3 linked regions of the Lepisosteus oculatus genome follow. The protein of the gene in region 3 interacts with the protein of the main gene of each other region in a pairwise test. Links are inferred from orthologs where the notes say so. Each region holds a gene or a part of one and is shown on either strand. Other genes may lie near its edges. The genes, in order: homeobox protein PKNOX1, abi3a and nup58.

Region 1 (7,440 bases), on a different chromosome or scaffold from region 3:
TTGTTAAAATCAAAATGGTATGTTACATTCATAATGATCTACATTGCATTTGTAACTCAGCACTTGTAGCTAGCTTGCCCATGGTGCCTGAGGTGCTACTACTGTACATCTAAGGGGGAAGACAGGAATTCTAAATGTATTTTATTTTAGTGCTGTTAAAAGGTTTAAGTGTCTTTGGTAAGTTGAAAAAGTTAAAGGACTATTTTAAAACCCTAACCTTCTGTCACATTTACCACTTGTTCAATAAGGAAAAACAGTTTAAACATTGACTATTAACTAGGAATACTAAAAAAGTTCACATAGACATTAACGTTTTCTGAATATAGCCTACAATATCTCAAAATGTAAGCTGAACAAGCAAGTGGATTGTAAACACAAATCACATTCAAAAAAGGTATAATTTTATTCAATTTCCTGGAAGTTTAAATCCAAATGCAAGGTATGTTACATTTATTGTTATTGTGGAAGACCCATTGATGATTAGTGATGCCAGCCATAAGGGAACAATATCTGCATTTGTGTGCAAGTCCATATAGTGTGTAGCAGTATTCCATTGTGTTGTAATGGTAACAGATCAGAGTTCTACACTACCTTAATGTTCAGGTTCCTTTTTCTAAGGTAATATAAGCGGTGACAAATGTTTGTCATGCACTGTAACTGCATATAGATCAAATGTCAACTGAGCACCCTTTTCTATATCATATCGCACATGTGTAATTCAAGTATTTTCAAGATTCAATATTTTTTATAACAACAAGAGTATTGGAATGCTTACTCTTTCAGCTGTACCCAGTAATATTAAAAAAAAAATAGGCACAAATGACAAACAGACATGGACAATAAATTTAGAGAATATATGTTATAATACAGGCAAGACAGGACATAGTGCAAACAGTGTAGTACCTTAAAGTGCAGGTGCTAATTTGAGCTGTTTATGATTGGGTGGAATAAACTGTTGGTCAATTGGTCTGTGTTCTAATACTGCAATACCTCTTACCAGAACCCAGGGGTGAAAACAGATCATGGCCAGGGTCAACTGGGTCCCAATGTATAGCTCAAGTATAGCTATAGTTGTGGCAGCGGTCGAGATGTATCTGGTCGATGGAGGGTAGCTCGGTCCCAATGTTTTACTGCGAGGACCTCACAAGCCTTTGTATGGCTTTTCTGTCCTGTACTGTGGCTCCACCATACCACACTGGAAGGCCACTCTCAGTGGTATTACAGTAAAAATTGGTGAGTGTTGTCTTGCTCATCCCCCACTTCCTTAACTGTCTCAGGAAGTGAAGGCGCTGGTGGGCTTTAGTGAGGATGGCAGCAGTGTTCTTTGACCAGCTCAGCCTCTCAGTGATCTGGAGGCCATGGAACCTGAAGGGGCTGACAGTTTTAACTGGAGCCCTGTGAATGAGGATCGGTGTGTGAAGTCCTCCATATCTCCTGAAGTCCACAATAATCCCTTTTGTTTTGCCGATGATAAGTGTGGGGTTGTTGTGGCACCACTCCACCAGCTCTTCTACCTTGCTCCTGTAGGTGGTTTCATCATTGTTGCTGATAAGACAGATTACTGTGGGGTCATCAGCAAACTTTATGATGCGGCTGCTGTTAAATCTAGCCACACAGTCATGTGTTATAGAGAATACAGCCATGGGCTCAGGCAGCAGCCCTGGGGGCCCCTGTGTTGAGGATCAGAGGGGATGATATTTTGTTTCCAATCCTCACCACTTGGGGTCTGCCTGTCAGGAAGTCCAGGACCCAGTTGCAGATGGCGTTGTTGAGGCCCAGACCCCTGAGTTTGACCACCAGCCTGCCTGGCACAATTGTGTTGAAGGCTGAGCTGAAGTCAATAAATAACATCCTGGCATAGGTTTTCCTCTAGTCCAGGTGCTCAAGAGTGGTGTGAAGAGCCAGTGAGACAGCATCGTGTACTGACCTATTATTCCTATAAGCAAACTCCAGGGATCCAGGGAGTCCGGGACAATACTGTCGATGTGTCCCCTCACCAGTTTCTCCATGCACTTCATGACTACTGAGGTGACTTCCACCAGGCGGTAGTCATTCAGACATGACAACTTGGTTGCTTTAGGCTGTGGCACGACAGTAGTTCTTTTGAAGCACAGTGGGACAGTAGACAGGGATAGTAACGTGATAAATATTACAGTAAAGACAGGGGCCAGCTGTTCTCTGCATGCCTTTAAAACACAGGGGGATGGGATGCCATCAGGGCTGGCAGCCTTGCGTGGGTTCACCTTTCCGAAAGCTTTCTGTACCTCCTGTTCAGACAGCTGCAGCACAAATTCCCCAGGCTCAATGGGCGTTTTGTGTGAAGCGTCAAACCTCGCATTGAAGTTGTTTAGTTGGTCAGGCAGTGAATCATCAGCTGTTGTTATAACCTATTTGTCCTTTGTAATTAGTGATAGCCTTCAGGCCATTCCAGAGGTGCATTGTGTTAATGCCCCCACATTGTGATTCAAGCCTGTCTCTGTAGTCCCCTTTCGCATGTCTGATGGCCCTCTCCAAGTCATACCTGGCTTTCCTGTACAGCCCAAGATCTCCAGAGTTAAAGACCACAAATATATGAATGTATAAAGGAGCTTTTAAATGAACCGTTTCACTATCTGACCAGCTCTGGTAGCTTACTGATCCCAGTAAATCTGCTTCAATAACAAAGAAGGACAGTGTGGTTCCAGGCATCCAGAACCCCTAATTTTCAATCTTAAATCTGCATTTTCTTAGTCCTTATTGCTTTCACTGTTAATTGGCTTTAGGATTCAGTTAGATACTAACAGAAGTATGAAAATAAATCACACAAAAATAACTGAATATTAAATCTTCTAATATATAAAAATTGATTGGTTAGCATCTAAACTATTTCAGTCCTGAAGCAAACAATTTGAAATATAATTCCATTTAGAAAAACTGTTCCATTTGAATTTTTATGACTATAAAAACATATTCATACCTTAATTACAACATGGTGATTTTTAAAAACCTTTTGTCTGTAGACAAATTATTTTGAATAATTCTCATGCCTACTACTGTATAATGCGCTTGAATCATTTGGCTATGATTTTTAGCGAGTTTCACACTCTTAATTCAATAATGAAATGTTGCTCAACCTAGAGACATCTAAACAATCACATAAACATCACATTATAGTGTTAATTGTAATCCTCCAGAGCAACGGATAAGCTACGAACTGCTCATGCTGTTTCTGTTGATGAACGTGAAACTGCTTATGAGGTGAGTATATAAACAAGGGATCCGGTTTTTGGATCTTTGGAAGTCAGTGTAAGCATTAACATTTTGTGTTTCTACAAAACGAATCAGAGAGTTTGTTGCAGATAACAGGTAGCTGGTCCGAAGAATATATAAAGAATAACACCAATTCCAGCTGCTCACAACAGTTATTGTCATTGTCGTTATTTGAGCGAAGCTTTTGTCTAGGCTTAGGGTAACAATACGGTCAGGTCACTTCGTGGCATAGTTACACATCAGTCAGAACGTCGTCCAAGTACAGTAGGACTGTAGTGGAAACTGTTGGTGTCTAGTCTAGTCACAAACCTTTTTTTCCCATTTTGTTCTTATAACAGTATATAAAAACAACGCATTCTACAACAGAAAAACATAACCTGGGGTCTACGGATTAGAAAATGTGTTAATATATAATTAATTCACTGCACATAGAAGCTAGAAATCTATATTAAAAACACGTTTCAAAGACTAAATTTTAAACTGCATATTACTGAATTGTTTGTAACATTTTCAAAGAGCTGATATACTGATATACTGTCAGTAACTGCTTTATTTTAAAGAAGGCCGCGATGAGCCAGAGCCTGACACGGTAGACATCTGGTGCGAGTCAGCTGCAGGACACATCTAAGTCTTCACTCACGTTAACACCAACTAAAACTAGCACGTTTTGGGTTTTTGGACTATGTGAAACTAAAATGTAAACACAGGAATGTCGTTTAAAATCTGCAAACAAAATGCAGATAGGATTATTCTCAAATTAACCAGTAAATCTCTGAGCCACGTACTGCAGTGCTAGCTTGTTCCTGCAGTACAGAGAAGACTCGTGTCATCGCATCCGCTCCCGGGTCGTGCGCGTGCGCGTGCACGCCATACGTCATCCCTCCTCCCACCTTATCCCGTGAGCTGCGTGCCCGCGGCGCGATGACGCCACGCGGCGGCTGCGGGTCCCGATTGCTGCAGCCGCTTGTCAGTGTGACGAAGATTGGCACCCAGGTAAGCTGTCACTCAAAATCCTCTTTTTCCGCTCACTATCAATCAAATATCGCGCAGAAAAGCGCCGTCGGCCCTATCGCAAGTACCAGGGCATAGTAGGGAGGTGGCTCGGAGTGGGTCAGCGTGAGGGTACAAAACGCCCTACGTTTTTGAACAAGGGGAGAAAAATATGTCCGGTTTGAGCGTCTTTTTCAAGGGAAATTTCTGGAAAAGCGAGGGAGCTGCTGGCAAGGCCTCGTTGCTGTTGCTCGGCGCAGCGAGGAGGGCAGGGCTAGGCAGCTGCCCGGCTTGATTGATGGAGGCACAGGGGGCAGGTTTCTCCTCAACGTTAAAGGGACAGGGGCGAATTTTCTCCGTGTCGGTCGTGTTTATGTGCCGGATGCGGCCTGGCCGGGTTTGTCTGGGCAGAGCGGTCGAGGCCCGGGGCTGGTTGTGGCGGACGTTGCGGCGCGAAACATGGCGCTGAGAAAACCCCTCCGTAACACACCGAGACGTGAATCAACAAGACGCCCTTCCAGTGTCCAGCGTTATGACTTGCAGCGTATGAAAGGCATAAAAAATGAACCATGAACCCATAGTTCTCTGAAAAGTCTAAATAGGCACCGAGCATCTACGAAGTTTCTTTAGAGGAGCTTATGAATTAACTTTTCACCAGAATTTAGCAGGGCGCCCCTTAAAATGGGGGTAGGTTTACAGGAAGCAGCTGATGGGACATATTGGACAGTAAAAAAAAAAACTGTTAGCAGCACACAGTAAATTCGTAAATGAAACACCTGAATGAAACGCACAGCCTTACAAAATGCAGGCATAGAGATAAACAATTTGCATGTTTTATACGTTGTTGCTTTTTTACATCCTCGTTTGTTGACACTGTTAAAAGGCACACTAATAGATTGCTTGATTGAAATCCAAATACGAGGAACAATACAAAGTTTCTTCATAATATCAGGGTGCGTTATCAGTTTTTGCTTTTTATGATGTAACTTAATGGATGTATTTTTCTATACCGCCTTGTACGCTTCGTGCTCCTGCTGAAGCATTTCCCTTTAAGGGCCAGTCTCCCGCTTTCCTCATAAGGACTGAGGTTTGTGATCGAGTTTCAGTCTGGCTTCGTTATCGAGGACTGACGTAGTTAAGCTGTGAGGCATTAAGATCGGGGATCTAGTTACACTCCGTAACACTGATTTTGTTTTCTTTATTTTTTCAAGGAGCATACATTTTAGATAGAAAAGCTTAATGCTTATAACTGCACGTCCTGTTCAAATTAAATATTCTGACTTTCGTCATTACAATTTCCCTATTTAAATTTCAAAATAGATTGAAAAGGCGCCACTCTTGTTACTCTCTCAAATGACCAACTATGGAAAATTCCAGATCTCAACATTAGAACATCTGTTGCAGTTTGTACAAGATTTATGGATGATATGTCTGCTATACATATAGAGACAGATCACTTTATTGGCCAAGTTTTCACTTACAAGGAATTTGACTTGGTGAGTTGCTCATACACTATACACATACAGACATACCATATATACATTTCAGAAATTAAAGAAAAATATATATTGCACCTCAAGAATGTGTCAGAACTCTACTTTTGTGTGATAACCCCATTCGTATGTACATATTTGTAAATGATAAATTAACTGTCCATACTATACATATCCATATACAGACAATATTATTAATGCACATAATGCCGTGGTTGAAAACTAAGTAATCAATATTCAATTTTAATAACACAATTTAAGTAACTTTCAGTGATTAATAGGGATGATTAATAAGAGTCACTGCCTGAGGAAAAAAGCTGGTACTTGTATCTGTGAGCAGTGTTGGAAATGTTGCCATTAGATCTCTGTGTCTGACTGGCCATCACATGGCAAATGTTGTGATCAGAAGGGAAAGTGAAAAGAATGAAGCTCACCTGCCTGAGGAAAAAAGCTGTTTTTGTGTCTTGTGGTCCTGGTGCTAACTGACCTAAATCTTTTCTCTGATGGGAGACATTGAAAAATATGATGGCCAGGGTGAGAGGAGTCAGCAATGATCCTGCCAGCATGCTTCTTAGTCCTGGAGATGTAAAGGTCCTGGAGGACAGGCAGGTCACAGCCTATGATTACAGCAAAAACAAACTTTTTGGTTGAGATACATTTAATCTGTGGATGGAAATATAAATTCAGACATGGATAAAACATTGACATTTTCTGAGAAAATGTTGTAGTCAAGTTTGAGGTACTAGTTTTAGTTGCAATGACACATTCTCCTCTGTTGAAAAGGAAGGTTGATGTGTGGTTATAATTGCCCTTGGTATCGCTGACTGCAGTCTTGAAAGTGGTCAACTTTCATGCCGAGAGTTTAGATGACAGTTGTCGACCGAACGGAAAAGTATTAAAGTTATGCATTTTATGTTACCCATGTGTGATTTTTTTAAAGTTCTGTATGGCTGTATCAAAGTGCTTAGTGATAACTTTGGCTCCAGAGCTACAATCAAGTATGTTGCTTCTGAAAAGAATTTTGGGATTTGGGATGTTGTTCTTCTTAGCATTTTTGGCGTTTCCAAGGCCACATCTGAATTGACTCTATGCCCACTGGTGAGGTGCTTGAATTAAATGCTCAGGGCAGATGCACATAATTGAAGTTCTTTAGAAATGGATCACAGAATACAGTATTTTACAGAAATACACAGGAAGGTATGTGGTAACTCATAACATGATCTCAACAAATTTCAGAAACACAGAACACTGTTATCCCTCCATTCATTTATTAAGTTATTGTCTGTCAAAACAGTTCTTAACTGGATGTTAAGCCACATGTGGCAATGGTGCTATATCAATCCAACCATCTTAAAGAGCCTCTGTATGTTCTTCAGGTGTCCTCTAGATAGACTTGAATTAGGACAGGTGTTGAACATAGGGTTCAGAGGTGACATTGATTAATAACCTTATACGCATTCTTGTGAACCGGAAAAGGATCTTAATTGATTACATAACATGACCTATTGAAAGTTCTATTGAAAATAAGATAAGGGTCCTTCAGGGCCAGGGTTGATAAGCACTACTGTAGGAGGTGCTGGCCTTTTGCCAAGTTTTAAAATTGATGTCCTGGGTACTTGGTCATTTAAGATCCTGTAAGAGTAAATGTAAGTTACTCTCATTTTAGTTGGAGAATAAGTTTTTCACTCTTCCGCCTGATCTGCTGTGT
Region 2 (7,455 bases), on a different chromosome or scaffold from region 3:
TTCATCGCTGCCATCAGTGAGCGCGCCGTCCTCTCTTCCCACACACATCTCTTTCCGAAGGGTCTCTATTCCCCTGGAACGCAGGACTGAGATGGTTACCTTTTTGTTTCCCAGGAACTGGATGCCTGTCTCCATGGAAATATTAAAACCACGCATGTTTCCAGTGTGCTTACAGTACTGGAAGAGATTCATCTGCATCTAAGTCGGTGTTCTAATTCTCATCCGTATTAGTGGATGCAGTAACTATAGCAGCAGATAGCAATAACAGTCCCTACAGCGGTACTGTAGTTGAACTGTCAACCCCAGCCTTCATTGCATGAACACGTTTCTTATGTATTCCCTGAGTCAAATGATTTCATTAGCTCCTCTGTATCTTTACAGATTTCAGTAGTTAATTGGCACTGCTTTGGTTTGATCTCTGGCACAGTGCAGAGGTCCCGACTCCTTTGAAATACTATTGCACCTTTGTGTGCCCACTCTGTCATACACTGGTGCTCTTTGTCCTGCGCAGATATTGGCGATAACAGCCAGAAGGTGACTTACATGAGGGACCTGGTGAGGTCTCTCCCGCAGCCCAATCAAGACACCATGCAGGAGCTCTTCCGCCACCTGCGCAGGTGAGTCCCTGTGGGACCTCAGCTTCTGTTCTCTGGATCTCTGGCTCCTGATGGTGGAGTCTTGGTCCCCCCCCTGCCTTGTTTTAAACCTTATGCAGCACAGCTTCCACGGGGGTGGGTACAAGGGCAGGAGGGCTAATCAACCAGGCGGAGGTCGCCTGAGCTGAGCCCTATCCTTCTTAAGAGCAACGGATCAGAAACATCTACTAAAAGGTTCCCATTTTGCATTGCATCCTATTGCCATGCTGTTTGATAACCAGACCCTGGCAACATAAACAGCTAGGTAATAAAGTAGTTCAGGTGGGTAACTGCGTCAGCATGCGTAGGCTGCAAAGGAACAAGTAACAGGTTTATTTCATGCTGAAAAGAGAAGAAAGAAAACGCAACGTTTCGGCTGTGGAGCCTTGTTCTTCTCTTTCTTCTTCTTTTCAGCAGGGAATAAACCTATTACTTGTTCCTAGGTAATAAAGTCGTTCAGTTTATTTTAAACTTTTTGTTTCGCTTGCCCTCCCCAGGGTGATAGAAAGAAGAGAGGACAACCGGATGTCTGTGCAGAGCATAGCGATAGTCTTCGGCCCCACGCTCCTCAGACCGGAGACCGAGTCGGCCAACATCACCATGTACATGGTCTTCCAGAACCAGATTGTGGAGTACATCCTCAACGAGTACGACAGGATCTTCTACCCCAGCTGAGAGTCTCCTGCACAGGCTGCTGGAAGCCACAAATTCTCTTAGGATGCTGTAGGCGCAGGTACGCCAGACTTCCTGGGGGTTTCTCTCACGTTTCCTGCATCTCCTTTCCCTCCATGCCATGACGGAGACGATCATCACGGGGCAGGATTAGCAGAGGATTCAAACAAGGAGCTTTGAAGTCTAAAACTGAACTGGGGGCTGTCCCTAGAGACAGACATCACTGGGACAAGTCATCAGCCAATGTTGTGGACACCTCCATTCTAAGATCCAAAACTCCATTTTCTTTAAGTTCCAGGCACGATGGAATGAGAGGCTGTTGGATGTGGATGACTTTGTTTTTGTTTTTTTTGGCATGTGCTTATATGTGGCCAAAGAACTGTTGCACAAAAAATTACATCTGAAAATTTGCAAGTTGCAGTTTTGTAGTCATGAGATGGGTTCTTTTTAATGCCACTTGTTGCTGCACAGTGAAAATTCTGTTTTTGATCAACATAGAATAGAAAATTCTGTTCGTCCATGATGCCCTTGAACAAGCTGAAACCCATGGCCCCTGTCCATCGTTTTCATGTCTTTCAGCATATGTCACCTCTCATTGACAATCTGTGTGTGCCTTCTGAAGCTTTTCCCCCCAAAGAATCATCCCTGAGCTTGATCAGTTCTGGGCTGCATTGACCCACAAGGCATTGTGATGAGCAATACAGGCTTCCTGAACAGTATGGCCCTAGTTGTGTGCAAGAATTGCTCAGAACCTATAGGCACAGCCCATGCTATGTGATGATGACGCCTTTAAAAGGTTCCTGTGTTATAAAGCCCAGCTGCTCTGTTCCGATAAGAGAATTGCAAACAAAAAAAGCTACTGTCATTGTCTTGAGACAAATGTTTCTATTACGAATTGTACAAAAATATAAAGGCGAATAAGATTATATAGTTACTTTTGTATTTGGCAGATGCAATATTTTTTAGATTTGTATAACTTTGTCCCTGTAAAATATTGGTCAGTACTTTGAAATACATCTATATTAAGAAAGGTAGGGTAGCTGTACAGTATATTTCAGTTAGCATTAAATTTATGGAATTATGAAAGTGTCTTGATTTCACCCGTGTATAAAGAAGAGTGGATTTACCCCCAGATTGACTTGGAATATACATTTTTTTTCTTTTAATTAAATAATTTAATTTGGACAAACTCCTTCTTTGACATTCTTTGAGTTACTTATGACTGGGTGTTTCTCAAACTTTGTTTACTGTAATGAAAAGTTTAAAGAGCTGTATTCCTATTCTGAGAATGCAAGACAAGGGATAAATCCATCTGTAATACAGAGAGCTTGTGGCCAGCACTCAAGACTGATCTTACAGAGAATCAGGTTGTAAAAATATTTTCTCCCCAGAGGTGTAATATGACCACTTACTGTAGCTGCAACATGATACATTACAGGATGTCATCCCTGTATAGTATGTGATGTCTTAAACACTTGTTTAATATGATAGTTAAAGCAGAGCAGACAGCAGGGATACACTGTACATAACAGTGATACAGCGCACAATGGTTTAAGTGAAGCTGCATTTAGCAGGTAATGGCCAATAACCACCACTGCAATACGCTTAGAATTCTACGTCTCAAATGTACTGGAAAATGGTAAAGCAGTACTCAAGGCAACCACCAGATGGCACCAGAGTATTTACAACATAGCAGAGGCTGTTCAAACCACTTGGCTCCATTTGGTCCTAGCAGCTGACAATGAAGACCTTCCTTTAAACCCCAGAATGTATCTGGTGGCTCTTTTCTGGCCTGATTCCCAAACAACATCCTTTTTCTTAACAAACTTGTGCACAATATTCTAAATGAGGCCTTATCATACATTGTACATTATGATATAAATAAGGCCTCAAAACTTGGCCTTATTAATGTACCATATTATCCATCAGTATAAATTCTACACAGTTCTACCTTTTGCTTCCCCACATTGTCGAGGATATGTAAATGATGTCTTCACACAAAAACCTTTTGTGAAAAGTCTTTTTCAAACCTACCCCAGTTTCATACTTTAGATTTCTAATGTTTTTGCTTCCTGCAAGTAAAACCCTACATTTGCCAACAGGAAATTGAAAAGTACAGTGTTTTACTTTCCGGGTGTTTGCTCAGTCTTGAATTTTATCTACTGTAAATCTTATTGAATTTCTTTTGCTGCTTCTACAGTACAGTATTTGCTAATCTTCCTAATTTGGTATCTGCTGCAAATTATCACAAAGGCTAGTTTATACCAAATGCTGTATACCAGACTATACCACAATCTGAATCGTTTATATAAGTTAAGCAGCTCCTTATCCAGATCTCGCCAGTACTCCATGAATTACCCCCACTTGGAGTATTCACCCCTGTCAATACAAAAATCAACAACAGTTCCAAACAAGATGTATTGATTAGAACCCTAGCCCCAAATCTCTCTTCAACCTTAAAACCTGATACTTACCATGAACCTACCCTTACACAAACGCTGGCCATACCCTGAGACTAACTCTCACCCCGCTCCAAACATTAGTGCTAACTGTCCTACACTAGGTCACTCGGATGTCCAGTGGTATGGCAATGTGATTTGAAGTTTTAAATAGCTTTGTGGAGAGGACTTGCCTCATTTCTACATATTATAGACAAACTATCCGTATGATTAAATATTATCATGACAAAGACCATACATCAGGAGACAACTGTTGAATCAAATCCTATTACTTAAATGCTGCTGACTGGACAGCTGTTTTGCACAGCATAAGCAGCATGAAAAAAGCTCCTGATACTCTGACCCCTAGTGAAACTAGTTTAAGTTATACGCAATATCAGTCATTGACAACAGACTATATACTAACAGTATAAAAGCAACCCAGCTTCCATGGGGAATTCAGTCTGATGCATCATAGGTTTCTTCTCATCTTACAAAGCTGTTTTCTGGCCATTTGCAAAAAACTCTTCCCTTTTGAAAGCTTTTTGTTTATCTTTCAGCATTACCCTTTTTCAGGTTTGTGGGATTTCATTTGCCACTCAGCAGGAAGTTAGCAGAGTTTATTTCAAAAACAGCGCTTACTTCCTAAAAATAAACTGGCGAGAAGCCATCTCTTGTGCACCCATTAGCCTCCCAGGATTTACAGTGAGAAGCAGTTCAGGTCTGAGCTTCCAAACGAACACTACGGTCAAACAGCGGAGAGAAAAGCCGTTTGGAATTTCTGGCACTCAAGCAAGTCCAGGGGGTAGCATGAAAATGTTAAAACATTGAAGATTGAACACAGAAGATTCAAACAGCGACAAAAAGCAGTGGTCCACTAGTGTTTTTTAATTTATGCGTACATCTAAGAGAGATGTGAAACCTCAAGCGACAAGACTCTAAGTCAGTTTGCCTTTGAGAAAAAAAAGAGCTTGCCGTCTTGAGGCGGAGACAAAAAAAAAAAGCCCCTTTCGGTTTAAAAGGCTTTTTTTTCGCTCTGAATAAGAAGCGGTTAACTGCTTCTCTTTTCTTCACTCAGAGGAGGGATAAAGACAGGCTCAGGGCACTGCGCTGCTCTGCTCCTCGACTTGCTGGGGTTTATTTTTCCCTTCTTGCTTCTGCTTGATACTCCAAACCCGAACGCGGAGCAGGGCACAGCCGCCAAAGGGCAACGATGAAAGATCAGAATGGAGAGGAGATCCAGACAATCTTACAGGAGGCCCCCAGTGCCAGGCAGGCACTGCTGGACAACTACGCCAACCTGCACAAGGTGGCCGACTACTGCGAGAGCAACTACTTACAGGTAGGTGCAACCCACCGGCTTCGCCAGCAGGTACCCGCTGCCCCTCCGAAAACACCTTCCTCCTCCTCGTCTTCCTCTGCACGGAGGCCTGGACAGGAGACAGCTGACGGTTAAACTCAATCTGTTTTTTTCTGCACACTGGAATCTTGTGAGGTTAAGAGGCTAGTGCAAGGCCATGACTTTACAGTTTATGAAACCAGCAAGCCCATTTTAACAACGAATCAAAACCTTAAAAAAAATAACTTTAGGAGCTCTTCATGTATACTACTGTCCAATTCATTACTCGGGTTTGTCCTTATTCTGCGGTATCTTGTAGTATTATGCAGCTTATTACTTGTGATACTGTATTATAGAACTATACTGATGGGCATTAAAGACATAAAATGAGAACCAATAGCATATATGTATCAAATGGTTCATATTGTTTCCTTAAATGCATACATTAGGACACTTTAGAGTTCCAATTCAGATGTTACAAAATAAGCAAGAACGAGGAGTACCACTTACACTGTACTGTTAATAACCTAGAACACAACAGAATACTCTCCTACAAAAATGTTGCATTGCTTGACAAGTGTCAGCGCTTTTTTATGCCACCAACCATAACCAGTTTCTGTTACCACAGCGTCTTTTTTGAGACCAGGTTGACTCAAAGGTATATTTATAAGGCATCCTGAAGATGCTAGTGTGAATCAACTAAAGACTAAAAAAAACATCAGACAGCTGGTCATACAGTTGCCCATAACCACCCCTTCTGTCCACATCAGCAGTATATACAGACACAAATTAATTTGTATCTGACATGTTACACCCTCACACAGTACGCTGGTTAGCATTGCTTCTTCACAGTGCTCAGACCTGGGGTTCAATTCCTGGGGTGCTATGTGCATAGAGTATGTATGTTCTCCCTGTGTTTGCAAAGGTTTGCTGCAGGTGCTCCGGTTTCCTCTCACAGCCCAAAGACATGCTGGTAGGTTAATCAGGTTCTGCGAAAACTGGCCCTGGAGTGAGTGTGTGTCTGTGTTTTCCCTGTGATGGACTAGTGTCCCGTCCAGGGTGTATCCTACCTTGCGCCTATTGCTTGCTGGGATAGACTCCCCCGTGACCCTGAATTGGATTGGGCAGTTAGAAAATGGATGGATATTACCCCCTAAAACTGACAAGAAACACAGCAAGTAAGTGCAGCGCAATCTCTGCACTTCAAATACTCCGGAACTGGGCAGACAATAAACATGACCACTTGCCATTTAAAAGGACAAATTCACTGCTTTGTGCAGTTCTCTCACTTTCATGGCTGTGGTTGAGCGACCCCTTGGTTTTACATAACTGTTGAGACAATTTTCGCTCTCCCATGCGGGCGCACAATTCTTAGAGCAGTTTCCTGGTTGTGAGAGGGATGCACAAAGACTCGGGGTGTGTATAAACCTCTGAGCTCTCCTTGTCTGGTGCCCAGCGTGTTGCAGTGCAGTGAAAGAAGGATGACAACAACAGGAAACTGGGCCAGAAAAGTGCCCTAAAAGCAGACGTTGGTTTTCTTCCTGCCTTGCTCAGTCCTGACTGTAGGTATTCTGCTGCCCTGAGAGATGAGCTATTCTTTCGAAGAGTTCTGTAGCTCTTGAAGACTGAAAGCTCTCTGAATTTGCAGTGAAATGAGGAAATGTGAGCTCAGTCGGGCCCTGAGGTGTGACAGGAGATGAGGGCAGGAAAGAACACAGACAGTATGAGAGATAATACAGAAAAAGTGAAAGGGTCCTGACAGGGGACAAACACAGAGCACTCCGAAATGAGAGACAGAAACAAACCAGACCACAGGCAAGAGCAGCACAAAGTGAGAGTAATACAATCCCACAGAGGAACAGGACAGCTCTACAGACAGACAGGACTGGGTTACACAGTGAAATGCAGAAGGACGTCTGAGCCAGAAGATTCCAAAATAGAAAAGAAATATATCGAGCTGCAAGTGCAACTGAAAAACAAAAAACTAGAATCACAAGGAGAGATTCATACCTGCAGTGAAGGTTAAAAATAACATTACATGCTTTCATAATATCCAAGCACACAAACTGTAACAGGTGAAGTAAATAATCTGCAAGATAAGACTGGATTCATAATAAGACTAGATGGAAAAAAAGTAAATGCTAAATTAATATTTCATGCAGGTACCCCTATGCTGTAGAAAAAGAAGGTGCTTTAGCATAACTAGTTACTAGTAATTGTGACTTATGCTAATGACCAAGGTTACACTATTTTCAAACTTAAAGAAGTATTTAACATTATTAATAGACCTTTAACCCACTGAAGCTCAGCAGGGTTGAGCCCGGTCAGTACCTGGATGGGAGACTCCTGGGAAGCTATGGTTGCTGCTGGA
Region 3 (7,466 bases):
GGGCTGCACAGCCCTCAAAACTGTACACACACAACACCTCTGCCAGGCTAAGCTTTATGCTGCACCTCTAGGTCAAACAAATACTGACAAAACCTTGTTTTAAAGGAAGAAGAGCACTTCCTGGTTCTGCAGTGCGAGTAGCTTTTCAAGGCCTTACCATAATTATAAGTGATTTGCAGAATTTGCAGAATACATCGGGACGGATTCTTACCCATATTTCCTGTGCGCTGGAGGAGCTGGCCTCCATGAAGAGCAGGTGAGTGGCAGTGAGGTAGAGAGTTCCTGTGGTGGACTTGTTGCTGAATCGGTCCAAAAGCTTCACATGCTCGACCTACAACAGAGCACCCAGCTGTGAGACACACTGATGCACTGGGGCACCAGGGACAGAGCTCCACGCTCACCAAAAGCACTCACAGAAGGTTCACCCAGCTGTTAGATACACTGATGCACTGGAGCACCGGGGACAGAGCTCTGAGCTCACCACAGCACTCACACAAGGCTCACCCAGCTGTGAGACACACTGATGCACTGGAGCACCGGGGACAGAGCTCTGAGCTCACCACAGCACTCACACAAGGCTCACCCAGCTGTGAGACACACTGATGCACTGGAGCACCGGGGACAGAGCTCTGAGCTCACCACAGCACTCACACAAGGCTCACCCAGCTGTGAGACACACTGATGCACTGGAGCACCGGGGACAGAGCTCGGAGCTCACCACAGCACTCACACGAGGCTCACCCAGCTGTGAGACACACACAGCACTGGGGACAGAGCTATGAGTTCACCACAATGGCTTCATAAAGCTCACACAGCTGCTGGTGCTCTGTGTTTCTGACCTTTCTTCTGACTATTAGTACTGTTGTGATCATCATCAAGTATCTTGATCATTTCAAGGATAAAAATAAAATAAGGGAAAAGATTTATAAGGGTTGAAATCTGAGAAAGACGTGTTTTAGGCAATCTCAGTGAATTTTAGGCAGTCCCAAAATCAAAAGAAGAAAAACTAACTGGAAAAAAGATCTAAGAATGACATAAAAGGTCTAAAAGTTGTGTCAAAGAATGATACTTCTCAAGAAAAGCAGTGCCTGAAATCTTCCACATGAGCCCATTGCAAAGGAAAGTCATTGTTTATTACGATGAACAGCTGCAACGATGCTGAATAAGATTAACTTCCATGCAAATTCAACTCTAATCCTACCTCAAATCACTAAACTTAACGTTGAAACAGAAGCTTTCTCAAATTCCAGCTTTACTTCCATTGTCAACAAAAACACTGCATGTCTTTAAATGGCAGCTTGCAAATTCTTCTGTGATCTTTGCACTATCATATCATATTATTGGGATAAAGGCCAGGGAAGCTTCATCTTCTTCAGTTGGACCAGCCACAAAATGGACACTGGTGCACATCTCCCCTCCTTCCACCATTTCCCCCAGGCAGGTGGCAGTAGAATTGCTCGGCATCTCGAATGAAAGAGCCGACGTGAGGGAGTTTCTGCATCCTCACACATTCCGCTAGGTAGCCTAGCAACAGGTCAGCACGCCGACAGCACACAGCAAGACAACAGGACAACAGGCCCTTCCAATGGGAGGGTGGCCTGAGCCCATCAGTCGAAGAGCTGCTTCTCATCAAATGAAAAGCAATGTAAACAAAAACCAAACAATCTGATTTATTCCTCCGGTTCTTCTATAAGAATGGGTACAAAATGACAGGAGGCTATTTGGCACATCAGACCTCTTTGGTAGTTAGAGGCTAATGGATTCCAGGACCTCATCCTGTCCTTGGTTAGGAGAACGTATCCCAGTTAACAATGTACAGTATGTTGTGGCAGAATAAAGTGTTAAAGATAAGTTTCATAGAGGTGCACACTGACTTGATTGATGTGCACGATAGCGGTGTTCTGTAAGAATACGCCTGGCCGAATTTTTACCAGCTGCTTTCACACACAGCTCAAGAACGCATCGCCACATTCCAGCCAGGATCTCCCTGCATTTCCATTCCCCAACTTCCAGCTGGAACACAACGGGGGGGAAAAATCAGAGCAATCGCTAACCGGGATATTGTCCTTCCTCCTGCCCTGCATCAGGAGGGCAGGGACGATTGCATTTCTAAAAGGAACAGACTGAAGAGCTCTAGAGATCTCTTCCTCCACAGCAGTACGTGCTCCTACTACAGTATATCAGCAGCCGGGAGCCCGCGGAAACTGCTGAACCCGAGCAGCAGGGCTTTTCGAGGTTCAGTCAAACTAGGTTTCATGGGAACATAAACGCAGCAGAGCCTGTGAGACCTGAAGTTCGCACAGTGCATGTTTTTTCATCCCAGGGCATTTCTTGAAAACTGTTGGGGTGTTACCTTGGCCAAACTCCTGGCCAAATTTCCCCCTGGACTTTCCTCGTCATCCCCATCTCTGAACTGGCCACCGAGAGCGCACAGGTGGGGAGGAGCTTTGAGTGGAGTGTCAAGAACAGTGCTACAGAAGTGTGAGGAATTATTAATATACACATGTCCTCCTCTTCTGTCTGACGCCACAGATCACACTCAAGACCTGACATCAGGTCACACAGATGTATTTGGGTATAAAAGCAATGTGTTTGATCACTCGGGGTCTATATATATTATGTTGTCTCCTCTCTGCCACGCTATAAATGACAATGATGTCAGCCAGCAGTGTGGAAGAGCAGTCAGGTCTGTGGACTTTAAAGCAGACGTCTGAGATAAAATCCGAGTGGGGCACTGCATCTTTGAATAAGGTACAGTATTTCACTCAGGTGGCTCCAGGAAAAAACACAGCTGTATAAATGGGTACAAATAATTGGATAAGAGTGTCAGCCAAATATACTAATCACACTGTGTATGGCCTTTTAAGCTTTGCCCTAATGACATTTTCTATATCAATTCACATAAAGCTGTGAGTCGAAACGTAGCTGTTTACTTAGCAATTACTCTAACAGGTGCGCTGTCACGCGAACTGTTACACCCATCGATGAAAGGCGTTGGTTCTCCTTCATTTACTGAGCACCTCATAGACTATCCACACGAGAAAACACAACCTGCCAAGTCCGGTTTGGTGCTCAGATCGGGAGAATTAGATCATCCCAGTGCAGAAACGGCACTAAACGAGGCATTAGCAGCGACATGACACAGGCTATCTGCCCTTCACTGTGCGGGTTATCGGAACGAAATTGACGCCTCCCTGCCTCAACCAGCATCCTGCTGCACGACAGGGCAGGGTGACTGTGCGCTCGGTCTCCCCTCCTTTCTCACCACCGTTTCGGGATATAAAACTGTGCCGCTGTGGGGAGACAAGTGTGGCAGCGGTGAAAATCCACTCCCAGACCAGTACATGTAAAAAATAAACACCCTGAACACTCCCTCATCCTTATCCTTGGACATGTTGCACTTTTAGCTAATCCTTGATCAGGCACTGCAACACTCTGAAGCGCATTTCGTCATTTTGACTAATGACGGTCTTCTCTACCTCGTTCTCCACGGCTCCCGCATAGGCTTTAGGTCTTAGTGCAGAATTCATCCCAATCCGAGTATTCATCTTACCTTTGGCGTTCTGATGTGCTCCATAGTTTAATTCAAACGAGCGACTGTGACCACACAGCGATCAAGATTCACAGCAGAAGAGTTTCGGTCTCCGCTGCTACACAGTCACCCGGCGCTCAATTCCTGTGCGTTGAAACAAGTACATATGCAACCCGATAATCTACACAACCCCCCTCTGCTCCAAATAAAAAAGCCGTGCTTCCTGCTTTGATGTGTGACCGAAGAAAGAGTGACGTCACACCCATGCGCTGGGTCTTTTCGGGCATGCCGGGAGTTGTAGTTTGTATTTGGAGCGAGTCTCAGTGGCCGAGAGGCCAATTGAAGAATCTGCCTTAATGACCAGGCCTCTATACTGACCATGTGTGCACTGTCAATTCATTTATAGGGTATATTTGTATGATACCTTATACTGCACGCTAACAGTTGCTTCCGTAAATAGCTAACGTCATATCCAAATCATGATGTGTGGAAGATAGAACTCTGCAGACGTAATTTGAATATTTTCACATTTTTCAGAATGCTGCTAATCCAGAAATTTAAATTGAGCTCTCAGCACCCGCAGAAAAAAGAAAATGTGAAATTCATTGAGGGCTTGTCTGATACAATCCCACCTGTGTCTGCCCATCCTCGATTGATCAACTAGTAAGACGCATCTCAGCAAATCCGCAAAATGAAGAAGAGCTGTTCTGTTTTTCAAGGCACTTGCGGTCGTTCTTATACGTTTTTCTTTTACATCGTAGATGGTAATTAACAGTTGTAGATTATTCTTGTTTGTCGTTGTGCTTTAGCAATACAGTATTGTAGTGAATCGGGCATGCAACTAAACCTTCATGAACTGATCTGGGAGAGGGGGCGTGCGCGCTCACGGGCACACAGTCCTCCACCGTCCCATCAGTCTTTGCCGCCGGAAGACGCTGCCGTGTAGGCGCGGAAACAAATAGAAACAGTTGCGTTTGATGTTGTATATTTTTTTTAAAAAAAGACATGGCACAGCTCGGGTTAATGTAATGTAAATGTTCTTCTGCAGTGCGGTGTTCGGCAATAGGGCGGCTCAGCGCGTTGGTTCGGTTTTGGCTCAAGTGCGAAGCTGTGCACGGTGCAGCTCTAAATGGTGGGCTTGCACGCTGTGGCCCTGATCTGCTGTGCTTCAGGCTAGCTCGCATCGGTAACATACAGTAGCAGATCGAAGATGTCGGGGTTTAATTTTGGCAGCGGCGGCGGCCTGGGATCTACTACCGCAGGGGGCGGATTTTCATTAGGAGCTGCGACCAGGTGAGAGAACTTCTTGAAATGCGTGATGAATGAGTGGTGTCGGTCGTAAGTGATTTCAGTTTCCCTGACTGAAGAACAGCGATGGGACAAGTGATATTAAATAGGCCACGTTTCTTACGCAATACCATTAAAAGTAATTCGTAGTTCGTTCTGATAGAGGAACTAACAACGTACGGATTGTTGCTAATGTCCTGCCCCTTTTGGATTAGCGGAAAGTTTCAGAAATGTAACTTGCCAGCAGGAGAGAATTTGCTGGCCTGAGGTTTATACAATATTCGTGTTTCACCGGAATAGGCGTTAGAAAACTACGAACAGTGGGAAGGCAGAGCTAACCTGTTCAGTGCGAATGCTAAGGTGTCGCGGGGAACTAAGCTGAGGTTCAGGAGCCTTGAGCGCCGAACACGTGGTTCGGTATTTTCCGCGGCACAGATCAGATCAGGTCTGGTCTGGAATATTCAATCCTCCGGGGTCCGTCCGAGATGTTCGGTTTTCTGTGGAAGATACTGAAGGGCGCGGGTGCTGGGAGCTGGTCGACATTAGGTTTAGTGTGTGCTGTTCACGTGTGTGTGTTTTCCTGCGTAGCTGCTAATCAGAGCAAAAGTGAAAGTGCGTCTCCTTGATCCATCAAGTCAGTGCCATCCCCATGTGAAAAGTCAGTGTGTCTGGAGGAAAAGCGTAATTAAAGTTCCAGCTAGGTTGATGTGGAAGTCGCGATGCACTTTGCTACTGCGAAGCTGAGTATATAACCCCGTATATTGCATAATTTCCTACCAGGCACCCTAAAGAAGAAAACCCTTATAATTAGTTGGAGTCTGTGTCCGTGCAGATGTGCTCACATGCGGACAGAAGGGTGTGGTGTACACTGTCAGGTGTTAGAAATATATGAGCCCGACCCCTGACAAAACCTAGAGTGAATGGCTTGAGGTGCTGTTGACGTAGTGGTACTAACATTTACCTTCACACAACCCTGCATTAATCGCTACGTGAGGTACTGATATTCTGCTCCTGAACTGTGGCTCTAGGACGTGTGAGGAGCGTGTAGCGATTCTGTTTGTGTCTGAAAGTGAAGGGTGGTTGAGGAAGGGTCAGCCAGCAGTCTTTTTGAGTCTTCTGCTGTTGTGAGATTCCCTAGTAGGTAAGGCGCTGTTGCTCTGTGCCGAAGATTACTGGTGCTGAACTGCTCTCGCCTTTTTTGTTTTGCTGGTGTTGTGAAAGTGCGTCGTCCTTTTTCTTCTTTGTTCTCTATTATTGAGTAACAGGGCGTGTTGAGTGAAATAAATCTGTCAGGTTTCCCGGTGCCCTAGTTCGTTTCCCTTGAGGCAGGTTGCTGGCCTCAAGAAAAGACATGCCTTGGAACACGAGACCTCTAGAAGTTGAATTTGTATAGTTGGTACTTCCCATGACTACTTTTGAAAGCTTTTGAGAGCCCAAATGCACAGGAAGTGAGACGTGACTTCTTTAAAAATTTAGGCTTAGTACTAAGCCAGCAGCCATATCACCCTGCAACTCACAACTGGCAACCCACTGAAGCTAAGCAGGTGTGAGCCTGGTCAGTACCTGGATGGGAGACCTCCTGGGAAAAACTAAGGTTGCTGCTGGAAGAGGTGTTAGTGGGGCCAGCAGGGGGCGCTCACCCCGTGGTCCATGTGGGTCCTAATGCCCCAGTATAGTGATGGGGACACTATACTGTAAACAGGCGCCGTCCTTCGGATGAGACGTAAAACCGAGGTCCTGACTCTCTGTGGTCATTAAAAATCCCAGGGCTCTTCTCGAAAAGAGTAGGGGTGTACCCTGGTGTCCTGGCCAAATTTCCAATTGGCCCTTACTAATCATGGCCTCCTAATAATCCCCCTCTATGAATTGGCTACATTACTCTGCTCTCCTCCCCACTGATAGCTGATGTGTGGTGAGCGTTCTGGCGCACTATGGCTGCCGTCGCATCATCCAGGTGGATGCTGCACATTGGTGGTGGTGGAGGGGAGTCCCCATTACCTGTAAAGCGCTTTGAGTGGAGTGTCCAGAAAAGCGCTATATAAGTGTAAGCAATTATTAATTATTATTATTATTAAATTGCTCTAGAGAGAATAAGTGAAAGGTGCCTTTAAGTCTGGTAATTAACTTTTTTTAGTTTCTCATATAATACTTCATAAAGAACAGAGATTTGACAAAATTAAGTAGTCTGATGAGTTTTCTCACCTAGATTTCTGCAAGCTGCTACTTTCTTAATTTCCCTGTGACTGTTCTGTCATTTCTGTGTGGCACTGATTTTATTTTAAAACGTTTAACTTTCCTAGTGTTTTTAAATACCTAATTATGAAAGAATGTTTAAGAATAGCGGATAAATGAAGTCCCGAAATGTTTGATATGTTATTTTGGTCAATAATTATAGAATACAGAGACCCTAATATAGTTCTGAAATTTTGCATTTGAGTGTTTGTCACGCATAGCATTGACATAAGAGGAAAAAATTAAGAAATACAGGTTTTTACATAGATTGCTTAACAGAATGATCTTATTAATAAAGTATTTTAATTAATTTGCTCAGGTGTTCTAATGTACATGATACTGGGGTTGGGTTATCTTTGTCGGAGATGGCATTTCCCCCACTTTAAGGTCCTTCTTGTATCTCAGTCATTGGATA

The links.
Region 1: the proteins of nup58 (region 3) and homeobox protein PKNOX1 interact in binary tests that used the Homo sapiens proteins (3 or more experiments, as listed by UniProt). The link is inferred for Lepisosteus oculatus from reciprocal best matches to the Homo sapiens genes NUP58 and PKNOX1.
Region 2: the proteins of nup58 (region 3) and abi3a interact in binary tests that used the Homo sapiens proteins (3 or more experiments, as listed by UniProt). The two-hybrid records come from large-scale screens. The link is inferred for Lepisosteus oculatus from reciprocal best matches to the Homo sapiens genes NUP58 and ABI3.

What each region holds. Positions count from the first base shown.
Region 1 is NC_090710.1:1,028,643-1,036,082, reverse strand, and holds the start of homeobox protein PKNOX1, read left to right. Parts: upstream 1-4,147; 5' UTR 4,148-4,242; intron 4,243-7,440. UniProt on the Homo sapiens protein: Activates transcription in the presence of PBX1A and HOXA1.
Region 2 is NC_090723.1:7,575,034-7,582,488, reverse strand, and holds the start of abi3a (ABI family, member 3a), read left to right. Parts: upstream 1-4,428; 5' UTR 4,429-4,958; coding exon 4,959-5,087; intron 5,088-7,455. Other genes in the region: arhgap27l (rho GTPase-activating protein 27), read left to right, coding at 1-16, 512-617, 1,133-1,310. UniProt on the Homo sapiens protein: May inhibit tumor metastasis. In vitro, reduces cell motility.
Region 3 is NC_090700.1:5,230,081-5,237,546, forward strand, and holds the start of nup58 (nucleoporin p58/p45), read left to right. Parts: upstream 1-4,432; 5' UTR 4,433-4,742; coding exon 4,743-4,825; intron 4,826-7,466. Other genes in the region: mtmr6 (myotubularin-related protein 6), read right to left, coding at 212-331, 3,554-3,577. UniProt on the Homo sapiens protein: Component of the nuclear pore complex, a complex required for the trafficking across the nuclear membrane.